Oryzias latipes: one gene and its partners. The protein of the gene in region 3 purifies or fractionates together with the protein of the main gene of each other region. This does not show direct contact. Links are inferred from orthologs where the notes say so. Each region holds a gene or a part of one and is shown on either strand. Other genes may lie near its edges.

Region 1 (3,718 bases), on a different chromosome or scaffold from region 3:
CACGTTTAAATTTAACAGGCCTGACTGGATTCCACTAATATTCAACTTTTCTTTGTTAAATCAACACTTTTTATCCCTTTGAACTCAAATATATCTTCATAAAGTGGCTCCTATGCTTAAAACATGATTCAAAATAAATTACAAATTAAAAAATAATATATATGTTTTGGAATAAATGCTTAAACATTTGCAAATTAATGGGGGAACAATGTTGTCTCAGAGGTGAAAATGATTGGGAAACGGATTTAAATCCTGAACTGATTTTTAGTTGCTAAACAAACATTATATTATAGTGAAGAATTCCATTTAAATCTTGAGATAAAAAGTTAATGTTTTGCCAATTTTAACTAAATTATCAAGTTTAAAAAAAACATTTTTAAGGCAGTTTAAAATATTTTCCCTTTCTGAAGGATGGTAGAACAGGCAAAAGTGCAGATTTTAGTTTAATAAATGTTTTTCACTGAAAGTAGAGAAAAAAACAAGTTTTGTCGTTTGCACAGAGGGGCAAAATGAAACTAACTGAATAACATTAATCAAGAAAGTCCCTAAAATAAACAACTCCCACCCCTCTGTTCAGTAAATTAACCCAACTTTTGCTCTGTTCCTTGTTTTTGGTCACTTCTATAGCCTCCCTTTGTGGTCACTGCCTTTGGTTTTTTAAATGATCCAATCTAACCTTCATGCAGAGAAAATTTACTTTACTTTAATTACTTTTTAACCCCTCGATATCCATCAATCCACTACTGCTCCAAACTTACCTTCATTTAGGACTCGAAAGAAAAAACAAAAGTGACAATTTTTCTTTCATCGCTGGAAACAGATTCAGGCGTCAAAGGGTTCAACATTTTCCCAGCAGATTCTGACTACCGGTAATCGTTTTGGGGTTTTGCCGCTGCTAAATGCTGAGTTGCCACAGGGGAAGGAGCTGTGTTGTTTTTAGTGTTTTAAAGCAGAAACAAGTGTCAGAAAATGAAGCTTTGATGTGTTTTTCATGCAGTTTTAAGGTCTACTTTCATGTTAACACACTTTAGAGCAGGGGTCCCCAAACTTTTTCCAGCGAGGGCCACATGACGTTTCCGTTCTCGGATCGGGGGCCAGGGTCAGTTTGAAACAGAAAACGTGTGACAGTCGCAGGGGGGCCAAAATGTCAACTGAAAGCCACACATAACCAAATGTTGATAACCCAATCTGATATCAAATAATCCTCTCTGGGTTATTCACCAAATAAATAAATAAATTATAATAATCAGCAAATATATATAATGAGACTCTTTATGAAATCAGTTAAAAAACAGAATTCTTTAAATAAAAAGTCAGGAAATATTAAGCAACAGTATTTTAGATTTTAGAAAATCAATAATAACCAAATAAATCTCTGTGGGTTGTTCAGAAATAAAGTTTCTGTTGTCCATGCACAAATTTAGGTAAATGTTCAACTTCAGTTGTAAGAGCAGAATCTCTTAAAGTTGTTGTGTTCTTTCCCCATAATCCATTTTGGAGTTTTTTTTAGGAGGTTAGTCTAGTAGACACCACTGTATGTTCTCTCTGATCAACTTCCTAGTTTAAATACCTGCATTCTGGATCAGTGTTTCAATTACCTAACCTTTTTGTCATTTATCCATGGGGAGGGGGGGTCCACATTCACGTTTTATGACTGGGGCAAAGTGAGGTTGCAGTAGCCACATTTTTAGCTTGGCTCACATTTCAATTTGAATAACCCTTGTGCTATCCTATGGGGTCCAGATGACCCGAGCCTTACGTTGACGTGTTCTCCCTACCATGACAAAGGTGGATAAAGGTGGAGAGGATTTCATCTAATCCACGGACACCAGTGAAGATCACAAATCATTGAAGCAAAAAGGTTCAGTCTAGTGGATCTAGATGACCCAACTCTCAAAGTTAAAGTGCCTAGGATAGCACAAGGGTTAAGCCTTATCGACGTGAGGAAACAATTCCAAAACGATTCAGTTTTCCACGCTTCCATGAGTCTCGAGCATGTGGCCAGCCTAAAGAAATAATGATGCCAAAATAAATAAAGGGTCTCTCTCTAGTATTGTTCAGGGGGCGGGGTCAAATAGGTGGGCGGGCCGGTTCAGCCTGTGGGCCGTAGTTTGGGGACCCCTGTTTTAGAGAAATTCTTTGCAATACCGACATGTATAATGACAAGAAAATATCAGGATGCTTAAAAAGGCACCAGATCACCTGGTCCTTAACGCACCACATCACTGGGTCTTGTGTGCAAAACATTGCCTGGTCCTAAACGCACCACGGACTGCATCTCACAGAAATGTACCTGCTCAGCCAGCCAGCCGATGTGTTTGAGGTGGGGGTGAGTGGGGGCGGCAGACGACGCCCCCAGGTACGCGTTGATGTGCGCCAGGGTGTGTGGGAGCAGCGCGGCGATGTTGGTGTGGATGGCGGTGAACCAGGAGCTGGCAGAGGGGCCGTCTTTGCAGCGCAGGACCACCGTGTGCTGGCCGTCCGGGGAGTGGAGCTCCAGCAGCCTGAATGCAACCAGAACGAAGGAAGATCTGACACCAAATCCAGCTCTCATTAAGAAAAGAGACACAAGGAAAACTGGTGGCTTGACCAGAATCTCTCATTTTTTACTACTCAACATCAGTAAATCTGTCATATTCTGAAATGAAGTTTGTTTCTGTCCATTCATTTGTTTATTTTTGGACACATTTCCCTCAAATTGAGCATCTTTTTTCTTTGAAATTCATATTTAAAGCATTTTGTCAGTACATTTTCAACATTTTTAATCTTTTCCGTGATTCCTTATTGTACTGATAACCTGATAACCAGGTCTCAAAGAAGGGACAGTTTTCACTTTGAATACAGTCAATAAAAGGGATACTTTTTTTAATTAATTAAAACATATAGGGGAGAGAACAACCAACTCCTTTATGAGTCTTGGGAAAGGTTAATTTCCACCATGACGATTTTTTTCAAGGTGATTTTTTAGGGCAGGCGTATAAAAGCAGACAGGAAACCTAAAATAGAAAGATGAAGAAAGTCTCTTGTGTGCAAATGAACCAAATTCCAGGTTATTGCATTTTTTATGACTAAGGCTTTTCTGCTTCATTATTTAACGGATGACAGATGCTGCTAATGCAGATGTTTTACAGAATGTGACCCATCAGTTTTAGTTCATAGACCGCTGCACAGAGCTCCCTAAAGAGCAAACATTCCAGAGGAATGAACAGGAAATGGCCACAAACCCACCACAAAGACCACACCTAACCTCCCACACGCCCAGGTATGTGTGTGCAGCGCCGGACCTGTTTTCCAAATCCGGCATGGAGAGGTTCCGGCTGATGAAGCACATCTTCAGGCTGATGACCTTCCTGTCTTTGGACGGGGAGGAGGAGCTGCTGTGTTTAGGAGAGCCCGAGTCCTCGCTGCCGCTGTAGCTGGGCGACTGCGGGCGGACGCCGTCCCACGGCAGGTCTGCGACCAGCGACGGTTTCTTGAAGAGCGGAGACACCTCACGAATGTACTTCACTGCGGAGAGAAGGAGACCCATTGATAAAAATTGTGTTTTTGTGGCATTTTTTTGATGATGGAGGCCATATATAAAGAAAATACACTGAAAATGACTTTTCTGAGTATTTTCTTCATGAATCAGGAGCAGAATTTGTGAGAGACCCGCTGGGGGCATTGATTTTCTCAGTGGTTCTGAGAGTTCTGCCATCAAAGCCATGTATTCTTGCTG
Region 2 (3,718 bases), on a different chromosome or scaffold from region 3:
ACTGAGTATAATTTAAAAAAAAATAAAATTTTAGGGGTGTGACGATTCATTTCAACAACGATTTGATTCAATCCATATTTGTGGTTGACAATCCGATACACTGACATAAGATAGATTCAGGATATCTTTAGCCAAAAATTCCACCATCGTGACTCAGAGATAAATAGCATGTTTCATAGAAGTAAGACAACTAGATCAGTTGATGGAGATGCATTTAAAGAGGCTACAATAATAATCAAGATTTCTACACAACACTTGCAACAAGGAAATAGTGCTGAAGATAAATTTAGCAATGAAGACCAGCTGTTTTATAAAGAACATGAGAAGAAGCTAAGGTGAAACTTAACTTGGCACAAAGAAAGAGGAGAGAGACCCTGAGGAGAGAAGTGGTTCCCTGGATACGGAAAAAAAAAAAGGGGGGAAGAAGGGGAGGTATTACGCTGGAATTCCCAAAACGACCAATTCTCAGTGCCAAACAGCACACACAAAAAGTTTTCCTCTAAGAATAGCAAGCCTTTGCGCCCACGTCTTCCATATGGCCCTCAGATTACATCACAAACCCTCTCCTGGATGCAGGGCCCCCCGCTTGCATGTGCACCACAGCTTTATGTTGTGGCTTCACCTGCATTCCTTATGACCGCAGAAAAGCAATCTAAAACAAATCTCTGCTACTTCCACATCAACGCGACAGATTTCGTATTTCAGTGTGCATGGTTAAATGGAGGTATTGCCAAACCTCAATGGGACTGTCTCAGATGATGCCACTCACTTGTTGTGACTTCTTTAATCATCTCGGCTGAAGCATGACATGCGTTGACTATCTGTCTGGTCCACATGGACAGATCCTTAGTGGTTTCAGCTCGGAAAATATGAGTTTCAATGCCGAGTCTGGTGCCAGTCCGAGTGGCGAAGCACAGCTCTGTACCAGAGCGAGGCGATCCCCGATCAGGACCCGACTGGACCAGCCTACACGACAATTTGCACAAAAGCAAGCAGAAGGAAGAATAATTGTTGTTCTGACATTTGAAGCAGTTAACACACTACACAGATCCATAACTTATTTGCACATGGATTACCTACCGTGTTGCTAAAAGTGGAAAAATGTGTGCAGGGTTCTGCCAGGCCTCTTTGCCTCGTGGCAAACAGTCGTACAGTAACAGGTCCTTCTCTGTCATCACCACAAAAACGGGCTTCCAGCACTGCTTCTCGCTCTCCGTCTGTGGCATAAACACACACAAAAAAACAATAAAACAGGAGCTACTGCAGCCATACAATTCAAGTTATAACAATAGGGTTTGCTTAAAAGGACACATTTACAGGGACTAATAACAAACAAAACAACCCCTGTGCCATGTCAGGGGTTAAATGTGTTAAATAAAGTTCCCCTTTGTTTGCCTTGCTTAAGACAAGAGTCAGAAAAATTATTTAAAAGAAAATTCCTTAAAAACCTGCAGAAAACCGCAAAACACAATGGATCAACTTAACTTTAAGCAGCTAGTTTACTCCATTCTTCCCAAATGTGAGGTAAAAACTTCCTTTCCAACAGTTAATCTGTCTCAGCACATTTTCTGTGTGGGTATTCAGCGAGTAAAAGCCTTTATTTTGAGTCCAAAACCAAAATGTCGAGATTCTCTTTTATGTATCCTGCAGGGACTGAGCTAAAATAAAATGTAATTGGTGTGCAAAAGCAGGTACATTCTTTATGTATTCAACCCCCCCCCCCCCCCCCCTTACCCACTCCTCTCTACAACCCTCTCACTAAAGGACACGCACACACCCGCACATCGACACGATTCATGTGAATTTTATGTGACTATGCTCCAGAACGGTTCTCATTATGGTAGATTATCTGCAGCCGAGCCATGGGATCCTAAGCTGCTCTTTGAAGTTCTGTCTCTACCAATCATACTGTGGGATTCGGAGGGTCAAAGGTTACCTTTTTAACATAACATAAGTTATAAGTTGCTAAGTAACACGACAGTATTGTATTTCATGTGGAGGATCAAATATTTGGCAAATTCACTGTGCTTAATTTAGAAAGACGTAGACATGTTTTTGCTCAGGTGGTTGAGTGTAAAAGAGGGGGAAGTTTACTTTTGGCTGTGTGTGTGTGTGTTTGTGCATGTGTGTGCACGCTTCTGTGAATTTTGCATACAAGCACAAAAGCAAGACCGTGTTCTTGACATGCAAAGATAAACATAGGGTTGAAAGGCAAAGGCAGTCTAACGGTAAAAAAAAATCAAAGGGTGTTAAAGCAAACATTTGATGAATTTCACTATAGAATTTTCTGTTTATTTGTTATAGTGGCTAAAACACCACTTTAACGTAGTGCCTGATGTGAATTGCTTGGACAACATTGTCCTGTCTAAACTGAGCAAGCCTGGTTTAATCATTATACTGTACCCTCAAGAGTTTCATCAATGTTGTCAAACCAATAAAGTAGGAAAAAAAGCTGCAGGATTCATAATCTCCATAAGTATGTAAAAAAGGAACAAAACCTATGACCGTTTGCTGGAAAAATAAGCTCATTATGCGACAGATATGCATCACCGCCAACACAATCCCCACAAAAAGGGGGGAAATGTGGCAGCTTCAGGCACACAGTTGTTTTATTTTGTTTCAGATGACTTTATTAAAAATATTGATTATAATTCTTGCACAATTATTCATCTTCCTCCGTTTGTCCCTTTCGGGGTCACGGGGTTGCCGGAGCCTATCCCGGACACTTATGGGCAAAGGCAGGGGACGCCTTAGACAGGGTCACACATATCACATGCACACTCACATTCACACCTATGGACAATTTAGAGTGACCAATTAACCTTTGAAGCATGTTTTTGGATGGAGGGAGGAAGCCGGAGTCCCCGGAGAGAACCCACGCATGCACAGGGAGAACATGCAAACTCCACACAGAAAGGCAGGACTTGAACCAGGGGCCTTCTTGCTGTGAGGCAAGAGCGCTAACCACTGTGCCATCGTGCAGCCTCTTGTGCAATTATAATCAATATTTTAAAAACTTCTGTGACCGCAATAAGTACTGTTATTGGGATTCAAATACAACCCCTTAAAGTATTGCTATGCACATTGGACAGATATCCTAGTTGACAACACAAAGACGCATTCCTACCTTCCCTGCCAGCCAGCCCAGGTGCCGTATCTCTTTGCTGCCAGCGATCCCGGTCCTGGATGTGTTTTGGATGACCTCTGCTAGAACCCTCTGAGTACGGTAACAGTCCACATTATCTTTTGTCAAGCAGAACAATGAAAACAGTTCCTAGAAGCTGAATAATGGCAGCCGACAAATTTAATTCATGCTGATGATGAGATTTTTCTTTACAAAATCGGTCTCAGACCTGCGTCAGCGTTGAGAGGACAGAGTGTATGGCAGCAAACCAGGACAGGGCAGATGGTTGGTCTGGGCACCGCAGCACCACGGTGTGCCTGGCATCAGGAGAATGCAGCTCCAGTTGTCTGGAGGAAAACAAAACAAAACAAGATATTTTACTTCTCAAAGATCAGTAACAAAGTTTCTACGGAAAAGATATTTCAAATGACCAAATATAATCAAATTATGTCATTTAACTCGTATTTTGTCTCAACTAATACTTTTTTCATAACAAATGTATCAATTGAGGCTTTAATTTTTACAGATGCACCAGTTCTTATCCAATATTTTTAGTGAGAAGGATGAACTAAGGTGTTCTAAAATCTGAGATGG
Region 3 (3,718 bases):
ATCATAAAAATGCCACAAAAACACGTTAAAAACACCAAAAACACAATTTTTATTAGAGTGGGCCTTTACTATTGTTACAAAATTGTAATTGTCTTTCTTTTTTATTTCCTTTATTATTTCCAAATGGGCTATTTATGATGAATTACAAGGGCCACATTCTCAATCGCTTGCATGTTTTCAATCTGATTTCAACCTAAACCAGTTTTAAATATTTCCTTTTTCTGAATTATTTGGGGAATATAAGGAGAAATTTAGGCCAACTTATATATTACATTTAGCTAAAATGCACACAAAAAGTTTTCTTCCAAAGCCATGCAAATCAGTATCATCTGCAAAAAAATACCTTTTGTGTATTTAATTAAATTCACATAATTCAAATAAAATATAAAGTTTTACACCCATCGTTTACCCCTATGCAGCGTTGATTTATTTCTACATAAACAGCTGTTTAATTAACTTTTATCGCAGGACTTTATTGTTCTATTTTATGATTTATGATTTTGTTTTTCCATGCTTACCTGCGCTGCCTGTCTGAGAATTGTTGCTGCACTGCTCTCCACCGCTGACCCAGAGTTTCTAACTTGTCTTCAAGCAGCGATCCATCAGGAGATGAAAGCTTTCCAATTATCTGCTTCCCGGTGCGGTTCAGTCCAGAAAGAACCGCCTGATGGCTGGCAAGGCCTTCCTCCAACTCCTAACATGGAAGGCAGAAAGAATAAATTACACCAAATTAATCATTTTTCCTCTCTAATTCAAATCTCTCCAAGCACATTTCTTATTTACACCTCAACATAATTTGCACGCAGCCGATATTTAGGATTCCAAACTGCTACCTTCCACTTTGAGAGATTTAGTGAGCCAGAACAGATGCGTTAAGGTGAATGATTGTGGAGTCCCACACACCGTGAGTCAGCTAATAGATCCCTCAATTCCCCTCGACTCTGATCCGTCGACTGCTTCTTAGTAGCCGTGAAACCCTGTGCGAGTACTGCGGTTAGGAGAGCATCGCAAATCACACTGATGGAGGAGGTCAGCGATGATGCAGCAGCTTCACCGATTTGAACTTCCCACAGCAATCAAAATGCCACTTTAGCAATCAAACAAAACTAAATTAAAAAGTCCCTTCTGATCTCTCCCCGCACTGCTCATCATTTTTGCGCTCTCTAATCGATCGCTTTATGTGTTGAGTGTTTATGAGGTACAGCACAGGGCCCATTTATTTCTCCCCAGAAAATGACAAGCAATCATGGTCTGGATCTACCCATACCTTAAAGTTTTCACTTTGCAGAGAAATGCTTTCAATAAGTAAGAATTTATCAAGACAAATGTGGAAAAAATCTGCATCCCAATAACCAGTAAAATGCATACATTTAAATCCAAACGCTGCACCAGAAAGTACTGACCGCTTGCTGTTGCCGGGCAGATTTCAGGTCCGGCGGTCCATCGGCGCCCATGCCCTCAGACAGAAGCGTCTCTGCATCCGTCAGCCACTGAGAAAGCTCCTTTAAGTCGCAGTGAAACTGTTCCCACTCCTCTACAGCTCGGTCAAAGCTCCTGCAAAACAACATAGATAACTAACATTTCATCCAGATTAGACTAAAAGTATTAACTGTTAAGTTTAAATTAAAAAAAAAGATAATTTCAGGACTTTATAAAATGAACGGTATATTAATGGTTGTGGCATTTACAATTCTATATTTAAAGGGACATTGATAAAGTTTTGTTTTTGCATTTTATATTTTTATTTGGTTTGAATGCCAGAAAAAAAAAAAAGATTGTACATCTTTATTCATGTTAACCTGCATAAATAGGAGCCCTTTGATGTTTGTTTCAAACAAAATAAACAAATGACATTTATAATATTGTAATATCTAGTGACTTATAAAAGAAAAAAATGGGGAAGAAATGTATGATTAACTTTTCTATGCTTCCATTTCTTTTTATGGTCTGTTTTATCCGTTTTTCCTTTACCATTACCATGAAAGAAATCTTGATTGCACACTAAAAAATATAGAAAGAAATAATTTAAAAATTAATGCAAAAAATGAAAGAAAATAAAAAATATCATTTTCAACATATGTTATTCATTGTGCAGAATATCTAGTATTTGTCAAGTTAATAAAAGTGGAAACTGTTTTTTTTTCCTTTTTCTGTAAAACATCGATCCAAGTTCGAATCTGCACCAAATCTCCCATTATTGCGTCTGCATATGAATTATGTCCAGGTACCCTTTGCGATGATTGTACATGCGGTTGAGTCTATCCCACTCTGCGTCAAGCTGTGCCAGAGCGTCCCCGATCTGTGCGGCTTCAGCATGAGAAGCTTCCTGGATGACGTCGGGGTGCCGCTCGTGGATCCCCGTGACCTTATCGCCCAGATTCTCCAGACTCTCCTGGATAATCTAAAAGACGAGCAAACGAAAGTCACTCGACAAAAGTTCATGCAAATTCTACATTTATGTGACATCTTTAGAATAAGGTGTGTTTTAGCAGCTTGTGTTTGTTGCACCTGGAGTGTGTCCTCCTGGCTGGAAAAGTCTTCATAAAGGCCCCCGCTCAGCTCAGAGGAGTTCAGGAGCAACTCATTGTCCGCCATAGCAAGGAGGACTTTATTGATCTCCAACAGGTAGTCTGAGGGAGTCAGAGACGGCGAGCTGCTGAGCCCTGATGCTGACATCTCCTGCATCAAAACAAGAAGAAAAGTTCTTGACGTCCAAAATACTGTGAAAAGAATCTGCACCTGCAAAACCACCAAAAATATTTGACCAAATCCCTCTCAGAAAGACCCAAACCATCCTAAGTAAATACTTGTTTAGTCCCTCACCTGAGCTGACAGCTCTGATGTTCTCTCCTCAAAGTGAGAAGATGGCGCCTCTAAAGGCCCTTTCATCTCAACGAAACGCCGCATCATCAGCTCCTAAAGCCCAAACACAACTCCGTTTTCTTTAGGCTTGTCCTTAACAGGCATTGTTACTTGAGAAAACAACTGAGTCTCACCCTGTGAGCAGAATATTGGCTCTGCAGCCGGAGCAGCATCACCCGCAGCTCCTCCCTCTCGTCTTCTTCTGAGGTTTGCTGCAGCAGTTCTTCTCCTCTTCTTAGCAGTTCTTCCATGTTGGCTTTCTCTGCATCCATCTGAAGGAAGAGGAAAAAGCCGGGTTTAGTTTTTTCAATAAAGCTATTTGAAGCCCGTCTGTTAAAAACATTAAAAAGGAGAAATCTGTTCAAATCTGCAAATATCCAAATCACTGAGGATATAAATTCACACATTTTAGATAAGAAATGCGGTTTGGGAGGTGCAATGACCTCCCTTTGGGTCACTCAACGTTTTTATGTGTTAAACTATAATTTTTTTATCACATAAACTTTGAATAAACTCTAATCTTTAAACATTTACTATAGGAATAGTCTTATCAGATAGCAGCTTTTACTGTATAAACTTTAGTCAAATCTAATAAAACCACAAAAGAAAAAGGAAACACCCAAGTCAAACATTCTTTGCTTCCGTTTAAAGTCCAGGCAAACATTGGAAGAAAGTAAAAACCTTCTCATCATCCTGCAGGTTTACTGTGTCCTGCTGCTGCAGAGTCTGCAGAGTGTCCTGAAGCTCTGCCCGAAGCTCCTTTATTTCAGTTCGGACCACAGTTTTAGGAAGCTGGGGTCTTTCTGCACGGGTCTCCTGTCCAACCTTGAGAAAAGAAGATAAAAATATATTTGTA

What was found. Proteins that work in one complex are often made in the same cells at the same time.
Region 1: the proteins of utrn (region 3) and sntb2 purify together in Homo sapiens (affinity purification with mass spectrometry; 4 studies listed by BioGRID and IntAct, with this or other methods). This does not show direct contact. The link is inferred for Oryzias latipes from reciprocal best matches to the Homo sapiens genes UTRN and SNTB2.
Region 2: the proteins of utrn (region 3) and sntb1 purify together in Homo sapiens (affinity purification with mass spectrometry; 3 studies listed by BioGRID and IntAct, with this or other methods). This does not show direct contact. The link is inferred for Oryzias latipes from reciprocal best matches to the Homo sapiens genes UTRN and SNTB1.

Annotation. Positions count from the first base shown.
Region 1 is NC_019864.2:27,643,436-27,647,153, reverse strand, and holds part of sntb2 (beta-2-syntrophin), read right to left. Parts: intron 3,508-3,718; coding exon 3,285-3,507; intron 2,505-3,284; coding exon 2,294-2,504; intron 1-2,293. UniProt on the Homo sapiens protein: Adapter protein that binds to and probably organizes the subcellular localization of a variety of membrane proteins. May link various receptors to the actin cytoskeleton and the dystrophin glycoprotein complex.
Region 2 is NC_019874.2:10,562,625-10,566,342, forward strand, and holds part of sntb1 (beta-1-syntrophin), read right to left. Parts: intron 3,472-3,718; coding exon 3,354-3,471; intron 3,218-3,353; coding exon 3,128-3,217; intron 1,218-3,127; coding exon 1,081-1,217; intron 967-1,080; coding exon 770-966; intron 1-769. UniProt on the Homo sapiens protein: Adapter protein that binds to and probably organizes the subcellular localization of a variety of membrane proteins. May link various receptors to the actin cytoskeleton and the dystrophin glycoprotein complex.
Region 3 is NC_019882.2:8,810,638-8,814,355, forward strand, and holds part of utrn (utrophin), read right to left. Parts: intron 3,688-3,718; coding exon 3,544-3,687; intron 3,135-3,543; coding exon 2,997-3,134; intron 2,917-2,996; coding exon 2,824-2,916; intron 2,680-2,823; coding exon 2,509-2,679; intron 2,402-2,508; coding exon 2,229-2,401; intron 1,555-2,228; coding exon 1,404-1,554; intron 695-1,403; coding exon 519-694; intron 1-518.